Drosophila melanogaster: one gene and its partners. The protein of the gene in region 1 interacts with the protein of each later gene in a pairwise test. Each region holds a gene or a part of one and is shown in the gene's direction. Other genes may lie near its edges.

Region 1 (6,110 bases):
GAAGTACTTTGAAGTATATTAAACAAGTATTTATGGATGTGCTTCTTAAACTCAAGATAATTATAGAACAGTTGGAATATTTTCAATTACCATTACATGTGGCTCACTTATCGTAATTCCATTCAAAACGTTCCCTACACGTATTTTCCATTGCCACCTTAGACCACAAAAAAAAATAAAATGAGCCACCGAGTAGTCCATATGCGGCTAAGCTTTCCTTACTGGTTTCTTATCGCCACGAGCCAAAGTTGTTTATTAACCAACCTGAACTTCGGGCCAAACAAAGCCCGTTGAATATTACACGCAAAACGACTTAGACACAACAAACCGGTAAGTAACGCCCACCCAGAAATTGAAGAAAAATCCATTGAATACAGATCAGAGAAGCTTTAATTTCGTTTTGATTAGCAGGCGGAAGTTGAGATGCCAGTGGGGCTAACACTCAACGGCGAACTGTAGCAGCGACATATTGGCGAAGTGACTGATTGTCCGACTGACTGACTGACAGACAGACAGATTGACTGATTGATGGTGTGAAGTTTCACTGAAGCTTGGCATGAGCAGCGCGGATCGGTCATTGAAAGCGAATTCCTCACCAGACCCAATAATACATTTATGGAACCCGACGCCATCGTCAGGTGTCCCGATAATGGGCGACGACGACCGATAAAATGGGAAATTATACAGGCACTCTCGTTTGTCTCTTCGGGATTTACTCAACCATTCCTCAGTTATCGAAGGCTCACAAATGGTTGAGCAAAAAGTGCAAAGAAAGAGGCCTCAATTGGAGTGCAAATATTTGTGCGATGATAGCATGAATTGTATTCTTTATGACGGTCTATATAGGGTTCTATGTTCGGTCGCAAGAGAAACCATGCGATAAGATATGCGGCCAGTTTACTGATTGATATACGACTGTGGGGAAGCAGGAAATTTGTTGGTAACCTGCTATGCTTTCAGGTGGAATAAGTAAAGGGAATATGCTAGATTTCCCAAACCAATGGATTAAGTTATTCCAATGATGTCATATTCTTTAGTTTGCAGCATGAACAACTTAATTAGCCCTTGCTATCTTTCAACAAAACACAAACAACATGCTTCCATAAACTTTAATCGCAATTCACATTGCATGCTTATGTAACTCAGGATATTATTCCCCACAAACAAATATCCCCAAAAAATGGTTAAAGCACGCTCAGCTTTCGGTTCCCACACAACCGATCAGAATTTACAACATAATTTACTAAGCTGCACGCTGACAGTGGAACCAGAGCGGCCACGCCCCCTTGCCAAAAAGCCAAAAACAAGGCAATGTCTGTCACTTGACGCGCTGAATTTGAATTGGCCGAAACGAAAACGGAACCGGCACGAAAGACCCGGCCATGCAATTAGCTGGAGGTCATTGTGTTCGGTTCAGCGAAGTTCATTTCAGTTCAGTTCAGTTCAGTTCGATTCGAATCGATACCAGTGTGATTTCAAATCCAGTTCGGTTTCAGTTTGGGTATCGCCCAGAGTTTCCGTTTGCAATTTTGCGGTTTCAATATTGAATTGGGCGAGGCCCCCGCATTGCATTTACGCTTGACAATGTTTCGACAGCAATTTGCTCAACAAATTGCGATTAAATGTATACAATTGATTGACCATTGTTTGGCTTTCATTAGCACAAAGGAGCGGGGAAGTGCCTTTCATTCGGTGAGTAATTTGACGGCATTATAAGGGCAAATAACCGCTGATCTTGACCCCCTGACCACGCATTTACTCATATTTCAAACTAAGTAACATATGTGAATATGTTAACACGTAGTTCTCCTAATCTGTTGGCCATTGAAAAACTAACCTTCCTTGTGACTGACACTTTTTTTTTGCCTCCCCTTGACAGACTGCCATTCAATTGTCAAATATCTTTGGATCTGCAGCGTCACGATTTCCAACTGGGCGCACGACCTCAGACATTGCAGTTGCCGATAAATTGCATTGAACTTCAAAAATTGAAACTTCACGAGGGCCATTTGGCAGCCATTCGAGGGCGGCTGAGGGGGCGTGGTCGTTTTTATGTTGTAAGGGCACGTGTCAGCCTTTGGCTGCATAAAAATTTCAATCAACAACATCTGTTGAAAAATTGCATTGCGATTCCACAGTAATTGGTTTTTTGTGTGATTCAATGCAAAATGCATTTAGTTTGATTGTGAATTTGTGTCTTTTAAGGATTTTGATCCTTAATCTTAGTGCAAGATTATTATTGATTCAAATATTAAATAACTAACGCAAAAATTTTACGATCAACTGTTCCTTGCATTCTGTTGTTTTGGGCGAAATTCATGTAAAAAAAAATCACAAATTTCTGTAGCGGCATGTTTTTTAAAAAGTGCTGCTTTTTCCTGCCCCTCAACGTGGGTTGCATAATCATTGGAGCCATCTTCATAACATTTCACGTTGGGGAGCTGATAACGCATTCGGATGACACCATTTTCATCAAGCAAGTGTCCCACAAATGGTGGGCACCCGTCATCATGTCTCCGATCCTGACAATTGGAACTCTGAGCTCTATACTCCTTGTGTATGCTGCTTCGAAGGTAAGAGATTCAATTGGTTTCTTTCAAGATTCTAATGCTTTATAACATTACAAATGCAGAGCAAGCGAGGCTTTGTCCTTATGTGGATTATCATCTATGCAATTATACTATCCCTATATTTCCTAATGGCCGTTGTCCAGTTGGCCAGGTCGAAACCTTCGCCGATTATATTGGCCGTTCAGGTGTTCATCATAGGTGGGTGTTGGCCATTTTTGATTGAATATGTCTGAATAATGTCTTGATTTTCATACCCCCTAGTTGGTCTCGTTTATTCCCTGCTAATAGTGCTGGCTTTTTATCGATATTTGAGCAGTGTGGATTCTGACGATTCAATTTGATGAGTTGTAAAATAAATGTTAAACTAACGTGTAACTGAATTTAACTGATCTAGTTTACTTCTTTCAGTGTGTCCCTTTTATACAAACTAGATTTTCAACAAATTTCAGTTTCTCAGGAAAGCTTTGAAAATTGTTGTTTAAAACTTGCAGTGCGGCTGAGGATCGGATCAATCATGGCCTGTCGCTGCAAATATCTGAAGCAGATCTTTACCAAGTGCTGCTACTGCTATTCCCTGCGTTTCGGTGTGCTGCTCTTCGGATGCATTTTTCTAACCTGGTTCATTTACATCACCATCGGCACCGGCTTCATGATGGAGTGCATCTTTCCGAACGAGTATCAGAGGTCCCTTATCCCAGCACCGGCGGCCCTCAAGGCCACCATGGTCTTCTCCTTCTTCGGCATCATAGTTTCGGCCATGCTCTGCCTGGGAGTGCACAATGTATGTGATCTGTCTATTATAAATATTCCCAATATATTTAGCATATGCTTATAATACCTCATAATTTTGTAGAACAACGAGATGCTCTTCCTGCCATTTTTGGTTTTCACACCCATTTGGATAATTGTGCACATTTTTGCCCTGACCGTTTACAGCTTTAATACCATCATCATCATCCTGACTGTCATCACAATGTGTGGGTACCCCCAATAATCATGAATCTAAAGCCTAAATTAAGTATACTATTTAATGTTTTATAGTACTTTTAGTGTATGCCTGGCTGGTGGTTTGGTCCTACTACATAGAACTGCTCTTCGCCTACGAAGATGAACTGGAAACCGGTTATGTGTAATAATAGTAATAATAATGATATTTACAAATTTTAGTATGTTGAGCAAGCATTTGATGTGCCTAATAAAATAATGCATGTAGGATACAGAAATACAGATCATAATTTCGCTTGAGCAGAACTCCATACTATGTGAAGTAGACCCCATTTCGGATGTACATATTTCTCCCCGTTTAGTGAGTATTTAGCGCACATGAGACATGCCCGTGCTCTATATACACCGAAAAGACAATGGGTATCGCAGTGGTAATGACAGTGACCGACTTACCTTCGGCAGCGAGGCGAGCACCTGCTGCTTGACATCCCAAACGAGCCGCTCCGATGGGAACTGCAGACACTTGTAGACATTCAGCTCCGGCACATGGATGCGCACCAGTAGCCATCCGTCCCGCGGCTCCGGCGGCGGCTCATCGTCAAACGCACCCGACCCGGACATGGCGTCCGTATTGGCCGGGTTCTGTTTGACTTTGGGCGTGGGTGGGTGGTATGTCGTAATTTTGACGGCTTTCTATCGCACGGTCCACGAAAAAAAAACGAAGCTACTCCCGCTCCACTGGGAGATCTCCTTCTAGCCGTTCTATTCGCTTAATTTGCTCTTTCCTTATTTGGTTGCACTTCAAAGTGATTTGCCTTTGGGCGTGATGAGCTACTAAGTTAATTTATCTAACTTTTTATTGCCAATCTATTTGGCTTTCTTTTACGGCCTTCTGCTGTTGGAATCCGTTTTGTTTGGACATTTCGCTGTGCTGCGTTCGTTGAGTCTGGCGCATGATGGTTCTGAAATGAATCAAATTAGAGGTATAAGAATAAAATATATTATAATGTATAATATTTCCTTTCCGAATCATAATGCATTACCCAATGAAGCTATTAATTTTCACTCCACTTTCATATGCACTAAATATTTTCGCATAAATTTAGTACACATATGCAAATTGCAATCCATTAAAAGCCTGCTCAAGTCCAGACAACAACATAAAATAGTTTCCCCAGCACTTAATTTTTAAATTGGTTTACTTTTCGAAACTGTCCACTGCACTTTTCCTACGCACTTGATGATATCAGTCAGACGGCAATTGGCCCGATTTTCCGAGCCCCTTTTCATGTCTGCAGGCCTATCTAATAGGAAAAACAAATTGTCAGAGTGAAAAGAAAACACTTGGGCTGCCGCAAACATTTCTCGTTGATGATTACAATTTGATATTGACATTTTATGGCTGCAGCACTGCAATGGCAGTTGCAATTGCAATTATGCACAAATTAAATTCACACGCTAGCTGGAAAGGAGGAGGTGCCACACGGTGGGTGGAGGATTGGAGGCATGTAAATGTGTGCCAAAGACCCGCTGACAGTTGTCGCTTTTGTGTTGGGGAGGAGGAAGGGGGGGGGGGGCGGAAAATGGAGCGGAAAAGCGGGCGGAGCGGGACATGTCGAGGCAACTGGAACTGTGGGCGGAACGGGTTAGCCACCAACTGCAGCAACAACCACATCTGCAAGTCTGCACTTTGTCGCATTTAATTGCGAGCGTGTTGATTGCATTCAACTAGTTAGAGTTGGCATTTCGAAAGGGCGGGGGACGGAGATGGCGGGAAATGGGGGAAAACTAGTGTAAAATGGAAATCGCTTGCGGGAAATGATAAATCCTAATTGAGGATAAAAGTTGTGGGTGCTCTGTCTGAAAGATGAAAGGTTTTGCAGTCAAAGGTTGTGACAAAATGAAAGGCTTTAGAAAAAGGTGGAAAAAAGGAAAGCATTTAAAAGTGCTTGTAAAATCCCAAATAAGAAGACTTTACTCGTTGAGTTTTTGTAAGAAACTGATTTTATTTGGAAATATCTTCGGTTTAAATAGGTGACATGAGAATCGCATCTTAAAGTAAATGGCCTACGCAGAGGCCTAAGTAAATAGTCCCCGCCTTATCGAGGTCCCACGCTCGGGCACATCTGCCTATCTTGAGCGGCGAGGACCTTATCTGTGGTCTCCCACTAAGGGACTATTTTAGGAGGCGGGGAACGATCTCAAGTGACTGACTCATGTAGTGTGCACTTAAATTACATGTTTTTGAGCAATGCACCCATGTCGCCTTAGATAACAAAATCCTAAATATAATTTATCGCTCTCGATTCATTTACATAAGATATGAACGGAGCCCAAAATTGTAAGTCTTTAAATATATTCGTGTTCATGTGTGAACATTCTGCCAAAGGGCCAGCAAGCTGAGATGTACATTAGTATATTAGTTGCATTTATAACAGTAGTGGACTGTATTTATTTGATATATGTTCATTTATTTTGCAACTAAGATTTCAATGGGCCTAGTTTTTCTGGCTTTTAATTTTATTGGATTACAATTATGGTTTATATTATTTTTAATTCAACAATTTGTACTCAATTAACTTATTTTAAACATTT
Region 2 (6,165 bases), on another chromosome or scaffold:
GTACTTACATAGCAGGCTGTCATGGCCGGATATGCCCAGAATCCGGGTCGCACCAGGAACTGCGGATGTAGCCATACCACGCAGGCGAAACCCATGTAACTGGATGAGCTGAAGTACATGCAGCTGGCGAGGCCATTGAACAAGGTCTCCTGGAATAAGAGCAATCACCATATCGTTAGATCAGAAAAAATTAAAATTAAAATGCATCCTTCAATTTGAATTGAATTTTGTGTTCGAGCAAGTTAGTAGAGAATCTATTCTTCACTTGGAAAAGCGCTCCAAGTCAACCTACGAATAGTGACTGCCGAATGAGACTGTAGGATTTGTCGGAGAAGGCGTAGCACAGTAGCAGGATGCCAGTGGTGGTGAAGCAGTGGCCGGTTGTGGCCAGGAAGCTGGTTAGCGCCTGGCCAATGGAATCGGCGTATGGTACGCCGTAGCGGATGAGCAGTCCCTCGCAGAGCATGGCCAGGCCCAGTTGCATCAGCTTCAGGAGGCCGATCCGCGACAGAACGAACCCGAAATTGATGCAGGTGCAGACGCGACAACAGCATATCCGAATGCCCAGCGGCTGGCCCATTCCTCGAACTCCAAACGAGGCCATGGTCTGATTGCAACTGATCCGGCGATGCAGCGACTCCGCTTTGTTGTATGTTGTCGTAGTGCCAGCCAACCAGGTTCTATAAATAGCTGCCGATACACATGGACCCCAAGTGGTGCATTTCCTTGCATTTCCAGCGACGTGGCAACAAATCCACCCCAATCTCCAGCTAAATTTAGAACAGCAATTCACAATGGGCGAGGATTTGTCTATGCGGAAGGTATCTTCCTTAAATATCCGATTTAATTTCTCTGAAACTACATGATATATATGTTAAAATATTGATACAACTTGGATATCAACCTTTTCACCTTTTAATTTGATCCATTTACCCAAGTGTTTGCTATCCTACGTTCAGTTTGATTTTCGATGCCATCCAAATTCTAGTCGCCAATTCGAATCGTTCCAAAAAAAAAAAACGTTAAGCATAATTCCCCAAATTTCGAGCTCACGCGAACGTGAACCACTGCCAGGATGTGCATGCCGTATTTGAGTAAGCTCTTCGGTGGAGGCGATCGCCGGCAGCGTCGCACCCGCGATGGAGGCGTCACCCCACTGCCCAGCCTGGCCAATGTGACCCAGGTCTCCATGGACACCGTCAAGTCCGCCAAGTCAGCGAAGTCAGCGAAGTCGGCTAAATCCGGCAAGTCCGCCGGTCGCCGTAGTACCACCGCTGCCAATCCTCCTGAGTCCAGTGTCAGCAGCAATGAGGATAATGCGGAGCAACCTCTGGCGACCGCCTCCCGAGGAGCTGTGCGCAACGCCACCGCCTCGATGGCCACCAGTGCTGCTCCAGCCGACGAGGCGAGGTCGCGCCGCTCCTGGTGGGGATACTTTGGCATGAGCAAGAACAAGAAGTCCAGCATTGAGTCGCTCTAGACTGCCAAGGATCGGGATTGCAGCGAATTGCAATGCATATATTCAATAGGAGTTGATGGTCATCGAAATTTGGCTTGCAGTAGTCCCCTATACACTTATCAAAAATCTTTTGCTTTTTTCGCTTTCAAGATATTAGTTAAATAAAAATGTTCCATTTCGAACCTTTGGAACACCAAAAGTTCTTAAGTTTCTATATGGTAATTATGGCAACCTATTATAGCATTTTAAAACGTTCTCTCAACTACAATAATTTATTTTAATAATAGTTTTCAAAAATTCGTGTTAGGCTTCCAGATCTCGTCAAACTGTCAGTACATTTAAAATAGATAAATTTTTAGATGAGATAATGAAACTGGGGGAATCCTGCAAAACATGAATAATCTAAACTGAAATAAAGTTGCCAACTAAATTGGTCAATAAATCAGGGAAGTTATGGCCAAGTTATATGTATGTATGTACATATGTACTTTCACTTTCCCCGTCGATCTCTACGCCCCTGAGCTTTCTTTGTGCCCGCTCTGTTCTCCGATTTCTTTAGCCGATCGGTTGGCGCTCTAGAAGATCGTGTTGTGTCCGGGAAGGGGGCGTGGCAGGGGCAGGGACAGGAGCGGGATGCAAACAAAGCTCAAACGTCGGCACCGCCAGCGATTAGTGTAATTTATCAGTCGCAGCGGCAATTTATGTGGCTAAGCCCGATCGGTGGGATTATATACATTCATATATCTATATAGATGTACATGTTTGTGGGATTGTTTGTTGTGTGTGGGGGGGTGGGGGGTGTGGTGCTCGTGCGGGGGTGGATGCTTTTTGACAATAAAATAATGTGGCTGTTATCACAAGTAATTGTTGCTGCCGGCAGTTGTTATTGTTGCTCCTACCGCTATTGTTGTGCGCTGTCGCTTGCGTCAATGGGCGGCTACACTGCGAGAAATTGGGGCTAAGCGAAAGGCAATTTATGTAAAAATATACCAATAATAATAAGATTACAAATAAGACAATAAATATGAAGGTTTAAAATCTAAGATTGCATTAGAAACGAAGGTATTTGAGTTATTTTTGTAGAATAAACAAGTATAGTTTAAAAATATTTAAAAAAATATTTTCCTGTATACATTCATCTACTTTTGTATTAATATATTCAAGCGCTTATTTATAATTCTTCTTGAATATGTAAAAATGGATTGTAATGCAATTCTTTAAATGTATGCAATTCTTATATACTTATTAATTTTAAAATTTTTTTAAGTGATGTTTCGAATAAAAGGTAGCTATAACGATGACGCCCCAGAAATGCTGTAACAAGTGAAACCGTTCAGAATTTGCATAAATCGTTGCAAAACCCCCTCCACCCCCCTCCACACTCCATAAAGCGGAAATTTTGCAATCTGCAATTAGGAATTTGCCAATTTCGTCACGAATTTTGCACGTGCATAAATCATTGCAGTTAGTTGGTCAATAATCAATCGCCCGTCCAACTTCATCCAATTGGAAATGTGGGATGAGAGGCATTTTGCGATTTTTCGCTTTTCCGAAAAAACAACAACTACGAACACACAAAGATCTCTTTATGCTCTCTTGTTTATTTTAAAAGTCAAGACTATAGAATTTACACATAGGCATCTGTGGTTAAAGTTATGTATATATATATACATAATATCCGCCGATCGGGCGGAAAATGGGAAAGCTCTGTCTGCCTTTCTCTCATTGGCGCAAATGCGTCTGACGTCGCAGCAACGAAACAATATAACAAAGAAAATGTTAAATTTTCAAATGTTTACGTGAAGAAGCGAACAAACAAGGAATGTAAAAATAATTCGCACTGAAAAATCGAAAAAAAACCACTTGTAAATTGTTAATGGTTGTGCCATTAATTGCGGCAAGACTTACACAAAAAAAAAAAGAAACAAAAAAAAAGGCAAAAAGTCGACACAGTGCGCTGATTGTTGTTCAGTCAAATTAAAAGTGCGACAAATTCTCGCGTTCAGTTGCATTTTCATTTTCATTTGCAGTTTTGTATTTGTTTATTTCGGTCGCCTGACAATCTCCAAATCGCCTTAAAAAAAAAATAAAAAAACAAAATAACAACGTACACAACAACGGGGCATTTAATTAAATAAATCGCAAACATCAGTCAACGGCCTGTTATTTCCAGCCGCCAAATCGGACATTATATCGGACATTCTATATACTATATAGCACATTTCGAGAGATCCAATCTGGCGAGAGAAAACCCAGAACAGGAAACAATTGAAATCATCTGAGAAAACGGTATTTATGATGGGAAACGTGGCCAAAAGCAATATGTATGTACAAATTCCTCAAAAATATCAACAATATAATTTCAGCATAAGAAAACAACATAACAAAATTCGTAAATATTAAAATTAGTAAAAATAATATACATTAGATGTATGGAAAAGAGCTAAATATTTCAAAAATTTATAAAGTGAGTTAGAAAGAGCGTTGTTACGATCGTTTTGAAAGTGAATGAATGTGCTTTTCCCAGAACTTAAACAGTCTAAAAACTGTTGTTGGCTGGCTAAACAAATCGCTTTTCCCCATTAACAGCCAAATGCAGCTGTCAATTGGCAACAACTTGCTGGCAAATAGCAAATATTTTGTGCTTCGTACTTAAAGTTTAATAGTACGAAGCACAATTGTGAGTGGTGGGTGTTGATAGACCAACAACAAGTGCGAGCAGCACAAATGTTTAAAATAGAGTATATTTTTATATTTTTTTTCCTTTTTTTGTTTTTTTTTTTTTGCTGAAACGCCAATTCATGGGGCAACAACAAGATGCAGAAGGGGCGATTTCTTGGGGCGAAAGTCGCAATGAAGGGCCGTAAACAAAAAGGCTTTATCTGGGCCAACATCGAGCCAAGTGAGAAGATAATGGCCAAGTGCCTGGCCAGTCTGGCACACTGATTGACTATTATATATACCCATCATGTCTATAGTTAACCGATCCGATGCGATCCTGGTCTAGAAGTGGTATAACCTGCGATTGCCATTTATTTATAGCAATTTGTTTGCCGCCCCGTCGACGTCACTATCATTTGCTATTGTCATGATTTTTGGAAGTCTAAAAACGTAGAGGTGGAGGAACTTGGCGACTTTTAAACGTTTGCAAAACAAGTACACTCGAACCCATATCGCTGTGGCCCACTTTAATTTGAAATCCTTTTCTTAAGTACAAATAGAGCCCCAATATATATGTATATATATATATATATATATATATATATAAGTTGTTAAATAAAATAAAGGTAAGCTCAGGTAGGAAAGAATGCGAAAGAATGTCACACTCATAAATGACGCATTATCGAAATTGAATTTTGAAATGTCAACCAGTTTCTCCCAGTGTACTACGCGCTGCGTGCCCCGCACCGGAGATGAGTTGACAGAATGTGAACAAGTGCCCCTCGATTGGAAAGTCCAAAATCACATGGTAATGTACTATATCTTCTGCAATGCTGTCTCAGGTGGGAAAACCTCAGTTTCGGAGTGACACTGCAGTTCCGAGTAGATATCCTTTGAGTTTGAGTTCCTGATTAGATGACCTGATATGACCGGCGATCCATAATATTTCGCCGAAATCTTATCTTTAAAGAAAAACATAGCAGCGTACTCATAAGTTTAATTACTAAATATATGTTCGTGCCGCACAAATAATCTTAGTCATTGCTCTTTAATTGAAAACTAACTAGATTGATACGAACAATTTGTTATTTATGTTTTCAGGGAATAGTTATAGATATGGAATCTATATACTGATAGCATGCCTCTCTTTGGTTTTATAAGCCAACGAGTTGCTGAAAACCAAATCTTCTAGCTTATCGAAACAATCGAGAATCGATTATCGAGTATCGATGATTCACCCCCACTGATGGATCCAAAGCGGAAGAGTCTTCCCATCCGGAACGGAAAATTCCGGAATGGTAGCCACTTTGGATTGTCAATTTGTGGGAGAAAAACAAAAAACAGTTTGCCCAGTCTGTCCATCTGCGTCATTGCGAAAAAAAAATACTTGTCGCCCACTTGTTGTCGAAGTGGGCGTGGCCGGAGGTGTGCTGACACACAAACAATTGCGGACGCAAGTAAACGAGAAATTTTGAAGAAAAATTAAAACCCTTTTTTTAATGGGTACACTGCAAATTTTAATGTGATCTAAGCTGATCTGGGCATATCAAGGTAATTACTTCTTTGTTAGATTTATGATATAATGATATGATATGATATTATGATTTATGATATGATCACTTGGGCAGACAAGTGTACTAGATGCGTTCAAGGAAGTCGTTTAGTTTTCTTAAATTATACCAGAAGCTTGGGCCTTTCAATTGCTTGATAATCCTACCATCTTGGCCGCTGCTGTATGCGCCCTTAGATACTTGTACATGGGTTTTAGTTTTCTCTGTGAGGCGCCATGTACCCAAGTACCTCGAATTCCTGAGGATCGTGTTCGCTATGCTGCTTATCAGCCCATCTGGTATCGTCAAATCGATAAATCATGTTCCCAGGGGTTCGGCGATGACAATAGCTGATGACGATGACGATGGCGATGGCGATGGCGATCTTCCCCCACCTTGATCTACTGCAAATGCCGTTCTATTCGTAACTGACTTGATCGCTGGCATTGAGACGCTGGCATCGCTTTCATTTGACAACGATTTCCATTTCAATTC
Region 3 (4,246 bases), on another chromosome or scaffold:
CATATTTTTAACCAAAGTTAATAGCTAATAGCTAATTGCATCGATTCGATTACAACCTTGTTTCGTAGAAAGTTTGCTTAACTTTATCGCATCGTGCGTGCATCTATTTAGGATGAAGGTCACTATGCTGACCTCCGAAAATGCTGAACTTTTCGAGAACATTATAATTTTTGTTTAAAAATAAATTTGTTTTTTTTAAGAGTTTTTTAAATATATAAGTAATGTACGCTTAGTACATTTCTATGGACACACATATTTTTGATGCCACTGTAGCTGCGTATCCTTCGGCGACTGTGTGTGCTTCCTAGTTAAATGAGTATGCGTGTGCTGCTAGTGTGTATGTGTATGTGTGTGTGAGTGCATACAATGCGTATGCTGAAAACTTAAGTCACGAAAGCAGACGCTCTGGCAAAGGCGATCCGTCAGGCTGCGAAATACTTTGGCAACGAAAATATTATACAACTACTACAAGGGTAGGGATTTATTGTGCTTTTTTCCCTTGAAATGCACCGCCCCTGCTACCTTTTAATGTCCTTTCCCCTTGCCATCCGTTCACAGCAGACCTCTATCGCCCACTGTGTGCTCACCGAGATGCAATGAAGCCGAAATGCAGCACTCAACTTGAGCTCCTGTCGCTCCTTCAAAGATCCCTGCAACGAGGCGAAAATCTTAACTGGCAACTCCCCCGGCGAAAATGAGCAGGAAATGTGCAAAGGGGGTGGGGGGTGGGGTTCGAAGGTCCTTCGGTGCCTCCTGCAATTTTCATTTGCATCTTCTGGCGCTGCCATAACTGCCGCCTGTACGCAGTTACACATCACACTTTAGTTCCGCCAAGTGGATTTTCCTCCGGCGCAGAGTTTGTCTTTTCATTAGTTTCGGGGTTTATTGTTATCTTTGGTGCCTGCCTAGAAACGAAATTCACTTGGCTGCAGATTTTGCAGATTAACCAAAAAATGAGCGGGATAATGAAGCCTGACCTTTCGGTGGTCTTTTGTCTTTTACATTAACTTTAATTTTACTTTAGATTTGGGCTTAAAGGGCTATTTTAAGCTATGACTGCTTTGTTTGCTGAATTAAAATGAATAATACAATTCAAGATCTTGCAAGTGTGTTGGTTTATTATTGTAATATTTACTAGGTATTATTTAACACATTTTTTATAGTCCTCGTCCTTGGTCGACTGCCTTCGTTGTGCCGCAAATTGGTTAGCATCCGCCGATGTGATTCCTTGTGCGGATCCCTCAGTTTGAGGGCGAAACAAACTGGGGTGAGAATGTCGTCCACATGGGGAACCTTCGATGCACTGGGCATCCGCCTTAGTCCAGTCCATACACTTTGACGGGCCGTGGAATCATCGGTTGGTTGCGGAGCAATAGCAACCTCAAAGGATCCATCTTCGGGCGGGCCTTTGTCGTTGATCCTTAGCTGGAGCTTAACCCTTGGCTGAATGGCCCTCAGAGCCTCCGCCAGCGAAGAATGGAGGTGCAGGGCTCGCTTGCGATAAGTTTGACGATAACGGCAGTGGTCAATGTAGAGCACCGGCTGGAGTGGATCCAGTGGCCTTTTGTCGGGCATCTCTGGGAGGCAGATGGACACAGGTAAACAGGTGGAAATCTTGGGCGGACCACAGACCACGGACTTCAGCGAGCAGCAGGCATGGCAGGATGTGGGAGACAATCCCGGTCGAGGAGCTGAATCTGGGGTTCAGAGGTTTGACACAATTCTCCTGGGCAGCTTCAAGCCTCCAGCTTATCGGCGACCAGATAACCTGGCCGATGGAGGATATGGGGCGCCCTCATAAATCAAATAAAAGAGCGTATCTGACAAATAAATCTTCGAGGACGAAGCAGGCTCGCAAAAAGAACATGCAAATGCGCATGAAATATGCAAAAGCCGCAAGCCTTAAAATAAATACAAAAATTAAATCAACCAACAGAGCTATACAGTGGTCTTTAGATAGAGGTAACAAGACACGAAATGAGATATACAAAGTACATAAGAGTTATTTCCGATCAAAAGTGAAAGCTATATTCATACAGAATGACAAAAAGTGGGCATTCATCTATGTACGAGTATCATGCAATTTGCGAGAATGTGTTTCAAGAGAAAGTGCATTCTATGGCAAATGCAATGTGATGAGTAATTAATTTGAAAAGTGGACAAAAAATCCGTAATTTTCTAGTAATTACTGTACGTCTAGTATATTGTCCAGTTTTTGCTGACATTTTGACCTGCGGCGACGTGAAAAAAAGAAAATAAAGAAGATTTTTTCTGCAAAATTTACCAGGCTAAAGAGTAAAGAGCAGAGCATGCCAAACGCACAGGCACGGCCAAATAGAATACAGCGCACAAAAAGGAAGCCAAATGAAAAAAGGAAAATGTATATTTTAATAAACCGAACACAAAGCAGCGTAGGAAAAGTCGAGCGCCTCATTTCCCAGCACCACCCACTGAGCCACAGCCACCGAGTGTCGAGCCAGCGGCAAGGTTAGCCAGTTCATTCATTCGGTCTTATTCACAGTTATTGAAAGTAGAGCAGCGCCGCTGCTTCTCGAATAATATGGAAATAAATAAATGTAAGTCCCGGCCACATGATAATAACCAAGGGTTAGAGGTCGGAACGTGAGCCACCGACCCACAGCCGATGACAGTTGACAGACGACGAACACGACGACTACGACTTGAATCCAAATTCGAATCCCGCCGCAAATCCCTGGGAAAATATATTCACCATGTCTTGGGGTTTGGGGTCTTGGATACGGCTCTTCTGCTCCCTCTGATTGGATCAACATACTTAGTTTGTGTTGGCAAAATACCCAACAAATAGTCATGGGAATGCCCTCGACTTTCGCTTTAAGTTGCTCAGGTAGTTTATCGCAAACATTTGCCTTCGCCTTTCAATTTTGGGCTTAGTGAATGTCAAGAAATTTAAAACTCAAGATTTATGGGAGCTTACTCGAATTCTATTTCTAAAGGGGTCAAATGGTATTACATAAAAAAGGCTTAGTATAAAAAAGATTAAGATTGGATGCATATTGGTATGTATTATATTAAAAAAAGGCTTACTATTAAAAGGATTAAGATTGGGTGCATATTAGTATGTATGCATGTTTTTATGGATTCAGCATCAGTTAAGTCAAAGCTATTACCACTCAGATAAATAAAAAAAAAAATAACAAAGCACCAATTGTCACTGATAAATTCATCGACATTGGAAATCAAATTTATTTTTGTACTTCTAAAAATACTGAGACGAAATGAATTGGTTCAATAATATATGCGAGGAAAGTCGCTTAAAGTTTTTTCCCAATCTTCAAACAGTCAAAGCTAAGCGTAAATACGAAATTGGCCTGATGAGCGCAGATGAGTGCTATAGTTTCATAAAGAAAAACCTGAAGTCCAGAAATGTTGTAGAAGAAGAAATGTTGTGGAAAGTCCCCATAATTCTTGTGTGTATCGGCTGCATAATAGTCATACTATTTGCATTTTGTTTCGCATTTCAGTGTGTGATAACAAAGGTAAAGACCGCCAAAGTGCCAAAGCGTTTCGATTTCGACATTTGTGAAGCTGAAAAACCAAAAGCCCAACCAATCCACAAGGCCAGCCAAATTGATCACCCAAAGAAAGGAACAAATTGCTGTACTTGTTTAAAATCAAATCTACTTTGAAGTTGTGTTAACTGAATTTTCTATATATATGTATATAAAAATTATAATTATAATTATATATGAAGTCTAGTTATATGCAAGAAATATGTTTTTTCTTTTTTAAATCAAAATGTAATTTCTTCTGACTAGAATTCATTAAATATTTCCTTTATTGTGATTAATTTACCTGGCAAGTCATCGATAAATTTCTTATATTTTCAGCTGTCACACTCATTATGATAATTGCTGCCCCTTTGGCCAGGACGCCCAAAGTGAGCAACTTTCCGCTCGTCAGCTGAACTTATAGATGGCCGAGTAATCTGGCCAGTGGCCTCGCCCCATTTGTCAATGCTCGTGGTGGTGCAACTCCTGCAATTGCCACAGGGCTGTGGCATGGCCTTCAACCTTCAGCTTTACTTATTCATTTTCGGCTGGGATTTTCTTTGGCCCCTGCTTTTTTCCAGCTTGCCACAAATTGGCCAATGCGTTTGTTCGGGCAGCCAGAAGTTGCCGGGGATTAAAAAACGCTTTGCATGCCAGCGGCAAAAAGATTGGGCGTAGAAGGGGGCGGGAATTGAACTAGGGCGGTGTGGCAAGTG

What was found.
Region 2: the proteins of CG42288 (region 1) and CG13012 interact in a two-hybrid assay, tested with the Drosophila melanogaster proteins (one large-scale study listed by BioGRID).
Region 3: the proteins of CG42288 (region 1) and CG43054 interact in a two-hybrid assay, tested with the Drosophila melanogaster proteins (one large-scale study listed by BioGRID).

The regions. Positions count from the first base shown.
Region 1 is NT_033778.4:14,088,025-14,094,134, forward strand, and holds CG42288 (uncharacterized protein), read left to right. Parts: upstream 1-3,006; 5' UTR 3,007-3,084; coding exon 3,085-3,351; intron 3,352-3,423; coding exon 3,424-3,547; intron 3,548-3,611; coding exon 3,612-3,703; 3' UTR 3,704-3,790; downstream 3,791-6,110. Other genes in the region: prosap, read right to left, coding at 3,969-4,136; CG42287 (uncharacterized protein), read left to right, coding at 2,352-2,573, 2,633-2,768, 2,832-2,911.
Region 2 is NC_004354.4:16,673,754-16,679,918, reverse strand, and holds the start of CG13012 (uncharacterized protein), read left to right. Parts: upstream 1-3,165; 5' UTR 3,166-3,748; exon of another isoform or gene 3,749-3,783; intron 3,784-6,165. Other genes in the region: sing (singles bar), read right to left, coding at 9-149, 293-604; CG13010 (uncharacterized protein), read left to right, coding at 1,076-1,480.
Region 3 is NT_033779.5:17,624,644-17,628,889, forward strand, and holds CG43054 (uncharacterized protein), read left to right. Parts: upstream 1-3,215; 5' UTR 3,216-3,257; coding exon 3,258-3,668; 3' UTR 3,669-3,746; downstream 3,747-4,246. Other genes in the region: CG15147 (uncharacterized protein), read right to left, coding at 1,135-1,575.